3 linked regions of the Oryzias latipes genome follow. The protein of the gene in region 3 interacts with the protein of the main gene of each other region in a pairwise test. Links are inferred from orthologs where the notes say so. Each region holds a gene or a part of one and is shown on either strand. Other genes may lie near its edges.

Region 1 (4,028 bases), on a different chromosome or scaffold from region 3:
AAAATCCTAAAAAAACGATAAAGGCAGTAAAGGGCAGGTGCTCATGCACCTATCTGTGCACGTTGCTGGCTCCTCCCACCCGCGTCAGGAGCACGAATACGCTTTTTGACAGTCATATTTGACGCGCTTCCAAACAGATGCAAATTTGACATGAGAAGTGCGCTCAGGGTGAAGGGACAGCTGCTCCTACCTTCTCCTGCCTCTTCCTCTTTTTCCAAGCCAGGAAAGACTCCAGTGTGATCCGGGTGACGTTTGGGCCCAGAGCCGCTCGCTGGGGGCAGGCGGACGGACAGACGTTAGTGATCGGTGGGGGGTCAGGTTGTTTCCACGCAGCCCGTCAGTTCGTACCTCATTCTCGATCAGCTCCTCCAGTGAGATCTCCTCCTCTTTCTCCTCCTTCTTCTTGTCTTTTTTCAGCACAAAGCCGGGCGGCAGGGCATGTCGGTACATACAGGTGTCACCGTTGGCGGGACACACCCAGAACCAGCCGTATTTGTTGTTCTCAATGGCATCCAGGAAGTACTTGCACACCTGAAACAACAAGGTCCTGTTCATTTGTGGTAGGAGCTTCACAGGTCTGAAGGATCAGCAAGCCCTCATGAGAACCACTGAAGCTGTGAAAACACAGCAGCACCTTCATGTTTTGGGCAGACTTACGATCTGAGTTTTTGCTTTCTTCTTCTCTGCCTCCCCGTGTTTTTTGTCGACCACCTCCTGCAGCTTCTTCTGGTCCCAGTTCTCCATGGTGTCTGAGCAGAACAGCAGCAACATCAGAGGTCTACTTTGGATCAAACATCGTAACCATCATCTGCTCTTAAGAACAGCAAACGTTCTCGGATCATCTGCATCTGTAACGCAGCACGAGACGTGAGCTGTGATCGGTGACCTTTAACCCCTGAGAGGTGCTGCACTGTCAAGGAAGTGTGCATCAAGCAAATGAAGATCGTCATCTCCAGCTTCAACTGTTTTTTCGGCCAAACATGTAAGAAACAGCCTGGAGCGAAACCTTTCTCCAGGTCTTCGTCCCGCTCGTCCACGTAGACGCTCCTCTTCTCACACTTCCTCTCCATGGACAGGTCGTGGCTGAATTTGCACTTGTCACCTTTGGTGCACTGGCCCTGCTTGAAGAACGCACACAGCACCGACTTTGGATCAACTCCTGCAACAGAGGGAAGTAGGGAGATATTCTTTAAGCGCCGTCTTCACACAACAGGAAGGTTGCACGCCTCCTCCACTCCGGCGCCCGATCACCTTTGCTAACTTTCTGCGCAGCGACGACGGGTTTAAAGAGCTCATTGAGTTCATCCAGCTCCTTCTTCTTGTCTGCCTTCTTGCCGCCCTTCTCATTCTCGACCTGCGCCATCAAAACAGGATGAGATTTCAGCAGGGAAGCATCAGAACATTGTCAGCGCACACAGCTATACCGCACACCGCACACATCCTTTCCTTCACTGCCCCCACTGCCAGGGGAAATGTGAGCAGAACCCGTATGTATCCATCCATCCATCCATCCATGTGTGAAACACTTCCCACTGAGACATGTTCACCCCCAGATGCTGTTTCACATGGAAACCTGCACAGGGGTCTGAAGCTGCACTGTGGGCAGCTTCTGAATTAAAACAGGATGGAGACGCTCGTCTTTTACTGTGTTACACTAATATTCAGACGGAAGCGAAATGCGTCTGTCAGAACCACAAATGTCCTCTAAAAAGAGGAGTCCTTGAAAGCAGCCTGCTGTTGCAGAAGCTAAAGACCCCCACACCCCCTGCAGCTGAGAGCTCCTCACCTGTCGGGCGCTCTGCTGTCCATACTTCACTTGCTGAGTGACGTTCTTGATGAACTTCTGCTGCTTGGCGCCCTTCTTGTTCTTCAGGCCGAACGTTTTGTCCTGAGGGGAGAAGCCTGTGTTAACATCAAGAACCTCCTCTGAACTGAGAGGTTGGAGAAACCGAAACCATCAGAGGAGCTGCGACAAGTTTGATCGCCACCCAAAAAGTCTCAGGTGAGTTGAACTGACAGGTGGAGATTTCAGACGTTTCCATTTTCAGAAATGATCATCAGATATGAGCTTTAAAACCCCTAAATATGGACATACTTTGAGGATTACAGAGCCATGGACAAACACAGACCACAGAACGACTACATGAAGCAAAGTGACAACAAGCCCTGCGGGTCAGGAGAACCGAACCTAAGCCGGGCCTCCGGGCGGCGGCCGCTCCTGACGGCGCTTCGGAGCTTTACAGCCAAACGATCGTTTATTCGACAGGACTCACTCTCTGTTCTGAAATCAGAACACACCTGAAACGGATCACAGCGTTTCTGTTAAGGCCAACCGCGGGCTCGTGTCGCCGGCGTCTCTCATTAGAAGCCGGACGTTGGTTCGGCCGCTCGGCCTGCAACACCCGTCCAACTGCCCCGTGACAGTCGGGCAGCTTCAGAACAGCCAAATAAGTCTTTAAAAAACACTAACTGAATGAACTAGAAACCCGTCAAATGTCACCTGAGCGGAATTACGTATTAATGTAAAGTAAAGCAACCGAGTTAGCATTTAGCTCATCAGCTAAGGCTAAGCTAACTGGTGTTTGGCGTTAGCTACCTCAATAATTTTCTCCTTCTTCTTCTCTTGGGTTTTTTTGGTCCCCGCGGCCTGTGTGGGTTTCTTCGGAGGCATGCTGGCTCAGCTGTGGACACGTGAAGATGACTATTTAGATTAGACTAGGGTGCTCTGGGTCGCGAAGCACCTGAAGCAGGTGTTGCTAGCACGTTCTAGGCCACGTGTGAGTTGTTGATGTCCTGTGGCGTCATTGCGTTACGACGAGGTGCATCATGGGTGATTGAGTTAAATTTAACTACAGGACAGAACGGCACATAGTGAGAAGATTCGAACCCTGGCTTTGTCATTTCTGTGTGGAGTTTGAGTGTTCTCCGCGTGCACGCGCGGGAATTCTGCGGGAACTTCAGCTTTAGTCCTAAAACATGCTTTTATGGCAGACAAATATACCGTCAATTTTTCAAAGTGAGAGTGCACGTGCGTGCATGTGTTGCCCTGTGACGGATTGTGCCCATTTCCTTCACTACTGACTACATAGTGCACTAATTAGTGTGTTTGCCATTTTGTAGTGCTATCCAAATCTACACTTCCAAAACTGAGTTCCCTATGCTGCACAGGGGGCTCTCACGCCTCACAGCCCTGCTTTCAATCCAGACTGGGACCTTTCTGTGAGGAAGAATTATTTATTTCAGCATACGTTTTGATTCGTACGGAGCCCTCCAAGGGCCAGTGGTTAAAAAAAAAAATCTGATAAATCTCGCCCACGGATTCATCAATTGTGCTCACACTGTTGCGCAATCGTGCGCATGTGCACATAGCATGCCCATGTCGCTGAGCAGAGCAGCTGGACTCAAGTCGTATCTTCGTACAGAGGAAGCTTCGGACCACAGTCTGTCACCTCGCCAGACGAACGGAGGCGGCTTTTGAATCAACAGTCCTGAGAAACCGTGCAAACAATCATGAGAATTTGTATTTCCAGTCGGGTCCAGAAAAAATAGCCTGATGTAATTCCAGTGTAAATTCTTTCATGGCTAAATGTTGTCAGCATATATTAACCTAATCCTAATCCTCCTTCTGGGTCAGTTCTGCCAACTATGAAGCACTGGCCGCACAGATTTAAAAAAACTATAAGCAAACATGCACTTAGTAATCACCATAACAATAATAAAAGCCTGTTTAGAAGATCACCTCGCTCTATGTCGGAGCTTTGTTATTTCCAACGGGACCTCCAAGTTCTTCTTCTATGGTCTGACATCATCATTAGTCACTGGCCACCGAACACCATCAGATTTTTTTTCCTTTTTAGCCAGTGGCATCTGCAGGGCTCAGTAGCTTTGGCATTTACCTGGTTCTTTATATACATGAACCTTGTGTGTTGTAATAAGGACTGCAAGTGGAACCAGCATTCATCACCATATAAGGACATGGAAGTGCTGAAAACAAACAAACAAAAGGCTGTCTGTGTTGAATTGCTTAT
Region 2 (3,984 bases), on a different chromosome or scaffold from region 3:
GATATACTGTCAGTTTTTGGCCTTTTATGCGTTCAACGTGAATCAGCTGATTCTGATGCAAACAAACGCGGTTTCATATCGGTTTTGTACACTTTGCATAACGGGGCAAAGCTGCTTTTCTCAGCGTCAGAATCCACTGGCTTTATGTTAACTCCAAAATGGTTGAAGAGTTACGGCAGACAAAAGAACGTCAACACTGGGACTACAACTACAGCGTTAAAGGATTAAGTTATGACAGGAACGCTGTCAGAGCAAAAACTCCAAACTACTGCAGCAGGTAAACAACAGGATCTGCAGACATCAGTGCAACTAAAAACAGACCTCTTTTTCAAGCAGCAGCAGAAGTTCCTCAACATCTCTGTCCTCCAGGTTTTCCTGTGAATATATCTCAAACAATGGCGGCTCATCAGGGTACTTCTCTGTATAGGTGAACTTTAATGTTGCTTCCACAGCTGAAAAGTAGAGAAAACAATGTGGATGAAAGTGCTGTAGTGACAATCAGGTCAGTCCACAAAGGGTGATGAGGAGGCATACTCACTTTTGCCGTGTTCCCCTATGTCTGAGGTCACAGTGACAGTGAAGACAATGGGGTTCTCAGAGAGAACTGTAGACACAAATAATGCCAAGGTCACAAAGTCAGACTGAAGAAGGAAAAAGTGGAACATTGAATGAACTCAAAGTATAGTAACCACAGGTACTGTTTTGTGTTTTTGTGCTGAAAACAAGCAGGATGAGAAGCAGAAAAAGGTTTGTTGCTTTAAAACTGGGCATACATGCTTTGAAGGTCCTTTTCCCTTTCGCTCACATTGCAGGCAAATCCTCTGTATGACATCTGTGCAGTGACACCTACCAGTCTATCTCTGTGCAGTCTTAGCATTGACTTTATATGAGAACTGGACCGAGTAGCCCTTCCCCCCGGCGTTCCATAAAGGAAGTATCTGCTGGCTCAATTAAGCCAAAATCCCATAGACTTCTATAGAGAAAGAAGCAGCTTTTAATCAGTCATTCTATTGGTCAGAATAACCATTTTGTTCTGAAAACCTTTTTTTTAATATCCTCTTGATAATCCTCATTTTTTTTATTTTTGCAAATTATTCAAGTTCTAAACTGACCAATCAGATGCCTCAATAAAAGTAGGTGGTGCCCTCTGCCCCCCCCCAAAATATTTTACTGACAGATTCTCCTCAGGAGATAACTCTTGACTGGCGAAAGTGGCTGCCACAGAAACATCGACCAATCCCCATTGTCTGGCTTCAACATTGCGCCTGCATCTTAGAAAAATGGCAACTGAATTGGATTGATTCTGCTGGAGCAGGAGGGAAGGCATTTTTTTGGGGCACGTCACACTTGCTCAGTCCAATTCTTTATACAGTCGGTGAGTCTAACCCCCTGCGTTCACTGTCTTCACGTTTTGAGAGTGTTTTTGCCTTTCACTCTGCTTACTTTTGCTCTAGTGGTATTACCCAGGATGTTAAGAAATGTATTTCATTTATTTTCTTGCAGCATTTACATTTAGAACCATCAACATCAAACACACTGGAGTTATAATCTATGAGGTCATCCAATGGATTTTGCAGAATTGCTCCCTCCTGCAACCTGCCTCCACCAAGACTGGGTGTCCAGCTTTGGAGGAACGGCAATATTTGTCGAGCTGGTTTGTGTCAAACGAGAGGGGGAAGGGCGAGGCCTTGGTTTGAACCATTGACTGTATAAAGAACAGGACTGAGCTGGTGTGACGTCACTCATATAAAATGCCTCACCTCTGGCTCCAGCCAAAGGAAGCCCATTTACCAATTTTTTCAGGGATACAGACGTCACCATGTTGGAGCCGGACGAAGTGATCGGTCCGAGTTGATTCGAGACACCAATCAGGAATGAGCTTGTTGGAAGTCCACATCCCGTCCACTGAAAGCAGGCTATCTGTCAATCCAACATTGAGGTGGGGGCCAGCGGGCGTCTGATTGGTCAGTTTAGAACTTGAATAATTTGCGGTAAAGAAAGAAAATCAAGAAAAAAGAGGATTATCAAGATGTAAAATAAAAGGTATTAGAGCCAGAATGATTATTCTGACCAATAAAATGACTGAATAACAGCTGTTTACTTCTCTACAGAAGTCTATGGGGTTTGGGGTTCTTGGAGCCAGCAGGTACTTTCTGTTTGGACCACCAAGGGGGAGGGGCCATTCAGTCCAGGTATATATACAGTCAACCGTCCGACCCAGTCACCAAAACAAGGCCAGCATTAGTGCCGAAGCAGCTGCAGCAGTTTCCTGCAGGATAGATCCAATGTTAAATCTGACCCTGCAGTTTACACCTCAGAACCGCAGACCGGTCCGGGCCGGAACAGAAGCCCGTAGGTCAGATTCTTGACACCCTGCGGTGTGCACTCAGTGCTACAGATCTTTCAGAACCGCTAATTCTGGACTTCTGGGTTTAAATTCGCTTTAAGGAAATGTCTTGAGCCGTACGGAACCAAAAGCCCAGTTCGACCTCACGCGACCGGATCTCGGCTAAAGTTCGGGCCAGTTTGGTCGCATATTGTCTTCCACTCTGATTGGTTCCTGCTATCCGCAGCAGGGGCGGAAGTTCCTCTCGAACCTGTAAAGGAGTCCGGGTAGATGGACTCGATGGCCTCCAGCTCGTTCCGCTGCTCCTCAGCGTGGTCCGTCATGTCTGCGGGTTCATGCGGGACAACACCGCGCAGGCATGCGTGCAGTGAGACCGTGCGGGAACCGATCGATGCGCTCGGTGCTCATCCGGGCGCCTAGCATCGTCTTCCTCTCTCTTTGGACAGGTGACCAACAACTGTCAGGCGCGTTACCGCCATCTCCTGAGCGGGAGCGGGAAAACGCCGGAACTACCCTGAACCCAATCTCCCATAATGCTCTGGGAGATTGATAAATAATATATATAAAATAATATATATATATATATATATATATATATATATATATATATATATATATATATATATATATATATATATATATATATATATAATGCAAATGTCAGAGCCTTCAGTTGATTTTTATGATTAAAAACTAAGACTTTAGTAATAAAACCCAGTGGAACAATACAGGTTATTTTCCTGAAGTGATAAAAATTACATCAGTAAAAAAGGCAGTAGTATAACTGCTATAATAAAAAATGTATCCTTTTTCTAAAATCAATGCAACACTAACTTCCCTTGTTGACAGCTGTACTTCTTGCTCCTCCCGTCCCTGTCAAACTATAGCAATGTCCGACTCTCGATTAGTCGTCCTGACGGCACTGTGCCTCATCACGGCGTGGATGTCTGGATGCTCTGCTGTCCTTCGCCATGGAGTCTGCTCCCCTTCAAGTCCCTCATCTGAGCGCCACACATTTATTCTGACCTGATTAAGGACAGCCCAGTGTCATCATGTCATTGTTTCTCTGTTGAGTCCCAAGTCCCAAACAAATAATAAAGACTTGGTAACCACAACTTATGAACAGACGACAAAAAATACAAAAATACTCTAGTCAAAACAATGTCAACAAAAACACAATCAGTTGCACAGGTAAGCAGCCTACTTTCTTATATAATCTGTAATTTAAAAGTCTGACTTTGGACATAAAAACACTAAAACCCAGCCAAACCAAGTGGACGATCGTCAAATATAGCAGCTCCTTAGAAATGACTGCCCAACTTGATATATCGTGATGAAAATAATACAGAAAACGGTTCTGCCAATGCTCAGCCCAAACTAAAATGACTAAACCCATCATTCTAATATATAAAGGGAAACAAATCAGCACCATGGAATGAATCCACCCAAAAGTTCAAGTCCCATAAGTTGTCATTGTCACACAGATCAGTGTGTGATGCTGTACAGCAGTGTTCTTCAAACCCCGGGCCGCGGACCGGTACCGGTAAAATTAATAACAACTAATAGTTATTGTTATTAATTTTAATTTAAACACATTAACATTAAGTTAAATAATCTCTGAATACTAACTAGTCTGA
Region 3 (4,127 bases):
TATGGGGGCTTGGAAGTATTAACCTTTGAACAACTCTTTTAAAATAAGGTGGTTAAGTAATTTATTGAAAGGGGAAGACAATATCTGGAACGCATTTCCCAAATACATATTTGACACAATGGGAGGCATTAAATTCTTGCTAAAATGTAATTATAAAATTGAAAAATTACCCACAAAACTTTCAAACTTTTACAAACAAGCCCTGCTGGCCTGGAAACTCGTTTATAAACACAATTTTTCTCCAACATCTTGTTTTATTTGGAATAACAGTAATATACAATACAAGAATAAATCACTTTTTTCCCTAGATGGTATGATAATGATATTGTTTTAATCTGACAACTTTTCAATTCTCATGGATATCTTCTGACGTATGAAGAATTGCTTTTAAAATTCGGTATTCCTGTTCCACCCAGAGAATATGCAATAGTGTTAGATGCCATTCCAACCAGTCTACTTCAACTGTTTAAAGGGATTTATAACACAAGTCAATTAAGAACCCAGACAATTTTTTTGGACAATGTGGATATTTGTGTTAATTCAGTTTCCAATAAGCAAATAAGAAATCTTTTACAGACCACAACCTTACCTGCTGGGAAATTCTATTGGGACTCCAAATTTGTGGACATAAAATGGACTTATGCTTGGACTATTAGTAATAAATACTGTCTAAATAACAAAATAAAAGAGGTGTCCTTCAAAATATTGCATTGTATATATCCTACCAAAAAAACTTTGAGTAGATTTGTTGTTGACATGGACCTGTCTTGTTCATTCTGTGGAACTCAGGAGGAAACTATTTATCATCTGTTTGTGGACTGCAGACATACTAATATGTTTTGGGTTGAAGTGGGGAACTATATTGGAAATATAACTAAACAAACTGTTACATTTTTGGATAAAGACATTACTCTGGGTTACTTTAATGTCAAAGTAGACAAAGATTGTATCTTCATCACACAATTGTTTTTACTATTGGCAAAATTCCATATTCATAAAGCCAAATGATCAAACTCCAAACCTAAATTACAGCAGTTTTTAAATGAAATAAATCAGTACTGTACCAGTATCAAACATCTGCAAAACCAAAAAGCAATTCGAACTAATTTGATTTTTGAAAAATTTAAAATTTATTAAACCTCAAAGGTATTTGAATTAATGATTCTTTTTGTACTATGTTGTATATGTATGTGTATATATTTATATATTTTTTGTTCTATTTCTTATATTTTTCTCCAACATGTATACATTTCAATTCCCCCTGAGACATTCACATTGTTATTGTATTATTTTGTTTGTCAATAAAGTTTGGGAGGGAAAAAAGGTTTGCAGTCTCGCGAGAGTCTCCACAAGACACGGCACATTCTACATTGTGCGGTGTGGATGCTAAGTTTTGCAACTTTCGTGTAAAATCTTTTTATTTTATCTTCCTCTCGTAAACAGCGTCCTGGAACTGTCCTCAAAATGAGTATACTTGCAAAAATAGCGGAGATTGAAAATGAGGTAAGGTTGAAACGTTGACTAGTTAAGCAAACACAGCAGACACGTTTTAGCTAACGCTTAGCGTTGGATGCTAACAGTTGTGAATACTGATGATAATCATAATCTCGGCTGGGTTTTATCTGTATACATTTGACATTTATGCACCTGACAGCTTAAAATACTCAATATAAGTTTTGTATCAGTCCGTCCCCCCCCCCCCCCCCCCTGGATTACAAAGAATGTTGGTTAAAGAAAAACAACATATGTCGAAAACACATGACTAATAAATGAGGTTGTGGTTAATTGTATTAATTTAAAAGTTTAGCCTGATGACGTTTTTAAGTGTTGACCAGACATTTTAGATGTAGCTTGGGTAGCTACGGCACCTGACCAGTTTAAATCCACAATATATTTACAAGACATTGCATTTAGAGAAAAATAATAACTTCTGTAATGATTTTATTTTTTTTAGAAATTTGCTATTTTACATATGATACTTACTCAAAGACTGAAAATAGTAGAATTTATCCAATCACTTGTGCATTTTTGCCATGTGGGTTTCTTTTTTGAATCGTGTGTGCCTGTGTATCCATACATATAAGCTAGTTAAAACTTTATTTATAGTTTATAGGGTATTTATTTTGAAACCCTATAAACTATATTTATCAATTACATTGACATGGGTCAAAACTCCCAATAGGGAATTTACTTTGACTGTTAAAACTTGTTTATTTTGATTTGATTGATTTAAATTTACACTTTATTAAGTAAACCTTGCTAGTACTGGGTCGGGCCCCGTTTTGCCATCAGAAACTGCCTTAATCCTTTGTGGCATAAATTCAAAATGCTACTGGAAAGATCCCTCAGAGTATTTGGTCCATACTGACATGACAGCATTACACAGTAGCAGCAGATTGGTTGAGATCTGGTGATTGTGGGGGCCATGTGAGTTCGGTGAACTCATTGTCATGTTCAAGAGACAAGTCTGAGATGATTCCAGCTTTATGACATGGCGCGTTGTCCTGCTGGAAGTAGCCATCATCAGAAGATGGGTGCACTGTGGTCATAAAGGGATGGACATTGTAAGAAACAAGGCATTCTGTAGTGGTGTAACCATGATCAATTGATTCTAAGGGGCCCCTAGAAAATGTCCCCCGAGCGAATGTTGCAGCAGAAATAGACTCATCAGATTAGGCAACGTTTTTCCAATCTCCTATTGTTCCGTTTTGGTGAGCCTGTGTGAATTGTAGCCTCAGTTTCCTTTTCTTAGCCGACAGGGGTGACACCCGGTGTGGTCTTCTGCTGCTGTTGCCCATCTGCCTCAAGGCTGGACGTGTTATGCGTTCAGAGATGGTCTTCTCCATACCTCGGTTGTAACGAGTGGTTATTTAAGTTAATGTTGCTTTTTCATTTGATGGAACCAGTCTGGCCTCAGGCATCAACAAGGCATTTCCGCCCACAGAGCTGCTGTTCACTGGATATTTTCACTTGTTCGGACCATTCTCTGTAAACCCTAGAGATGGTTGTGGGTGAAAATCCCAGTAGATCAGCCCTGTCTAAAATACTTAGATCAGCCCGTCTGGCACCAACAACCAGGCCACGTTCAAAGTTGCATCTTTTCTTCCCTATTCTGTTGCTAAGTTTGAACTGCAGCAGATCATCTTGAACATGTCTACATGCTTAAATACATTCAGTAGCTGCCATATGATTGGCTGATTAGAAATTTGGGTTAATGAGTAGTTTGATGTGTGTCTAATTAAGTGACCAGTGAGTTTATTTCAAGCATTAAAAACAATTGACTGCTACAATAAAAAGTAACAAAACACATATATCAAACCCATGTCAGATATAAAGCAATGTGTTTATTAGAATAAAAGGAAAAATAAATGATTTAAGATTATGCCATCTTCTTGACAGTGTAATTACTCATTACTTGGGGTGGCAGTGGTGAAGCGGTAGGGCGGTTGACCCATGATCGTAAGCTTACAGGTTTGATTCCCGCCTTGCACGCCCATGAGTCGAAGTGTCCTTGGGCAAGACACTGAACCCCACCTTGCTTCTGGTGGGAGGTTGGCGCCAGTGTTTGACAGCGGAGCCGCCATCAGTGTGTGAATGTGTGTGTGACTGGATGAATGGGACTATGGCTGTAAAGCGCTTCAAAGAAGGTAGAAAAGAGCTATATAAGTATAAGTATAAGTATACGCCATTTACTATAACCATAAATAGACTTTTTTGTGGGAATACAATCATATCACAATAGATTCATTTAATATAATGATTATTAATTAGTCAATTAGAGTTTGATTTGTTGCTTCAATGGAAGAGGGAGAAGCAGGATTTTCATAATCACACCCCTATTGTGTTATTGCTTTTTATATGTATTTTTGCATTCTATAATCCAGTTATAATAAGTATATTTAACATTGTATTTAGTTTGTTCTGTTTAGTATCTAATTCATGAAGGAATAGGCTGCAAAAAATGTCAAGTATATGAAATATTAGGGTTAAAATAAATTTTTTAAAAGATTGTGCACATCAATGAAATAAATTGAGTGTTTACTTGTGTTTCTTTGTGATTTAAGCAGTTATGAATATTTATGATGTTTGTTTTTTTCTTATAAGAAACAAATCTGATCATAAAATTG

What was found. The genes of interacting proteins can lie anywhere in the genome.
Region 1: the proteins of drg1 (region 3) and zc3h15 interact in binary tests that used the Homo sapiens proteins (3 or more experiments, as listed by UniProt). The two-hybrid records come from large-scale screens. The link is inferred for Oryzias latipes from reciprocal best matches to the Homo sapiens genes DRG1 and ZC3H15.
Region 2: the proteins of drg1 (region 3) and rwdd1 interact in binary tests that used the Homo sapiens proteins (3 or more experiments, as listed by UniProt). The two-hybrid records come from large-scale screens. The link is inferred for Oryzias latipes from reciprocal best matches to the Homo sapiens genes DRG1 and RWDD1.

Annotation. Positions count from the first base shown.
Region 1 is NC_019873.2:1,266,118-1,270,145, reverse strand, and holds the start of zc3h15 (zinc finger CCCH domain-containing protein 15), read right to left. Parts: upstream 2,801-4,028; 5' UTR 2,672-2,800; coding exon 2,597-2,671; intron 1,889-2,596; coding exon 1,787-1,888; intron 1,355-1,786; coding exon 1,252-1,354; intron 1,160-1,251; coding exon 1,007-1,159; intron 750-1,006; coding exon 658-749; intron 532-657; coding exon 349-531; intron 272-348; coding exon 191-271; intron 1-190. UniProt on the Homo sapiens protein: Protects DRG1 from proteolytic degradation. Stimulates DRG1 GTPase activity likely by increasing the affinity for the potassium ions.
Region 2 is NC_019874.2:9,431,574-9,435,557, reverse strand, and holds the start of rwdd1 (RWD domain-containing protein 1), read right to left. Parts: upstream 2,801-3,984; 5' UTR 2,671-2,800; coding exon 2,598-2,670; intron 605-2,597; coding exon 539-604; intron 453-538; coding exon 322-452; intron 1-321. UniProt on the Homo sapiens protein: Protects DRG2 from proteolytic degradation.
Region 3 is NC_019870.2:14,589,925-14,594,051, reverse strand, and holds the start of drg1 (developmentally-regulated GTP-binding protein 1), read left to right. Parts: upstream 1-1,326; 5' UTR 1,327-1,464; coding exon 1,465-1,503; intron 1,504-4,127. UniProt on the Homo sapiens protein: Catalyzes the conversion of GTP to GDP through hydrolysis of the gamma-phosphate bond in GTP. Appears to have an intrinsic GTPase activity that is stimulated by ZC3H15/DFRP1 binding likely by increasing the affinity for the potassium ions.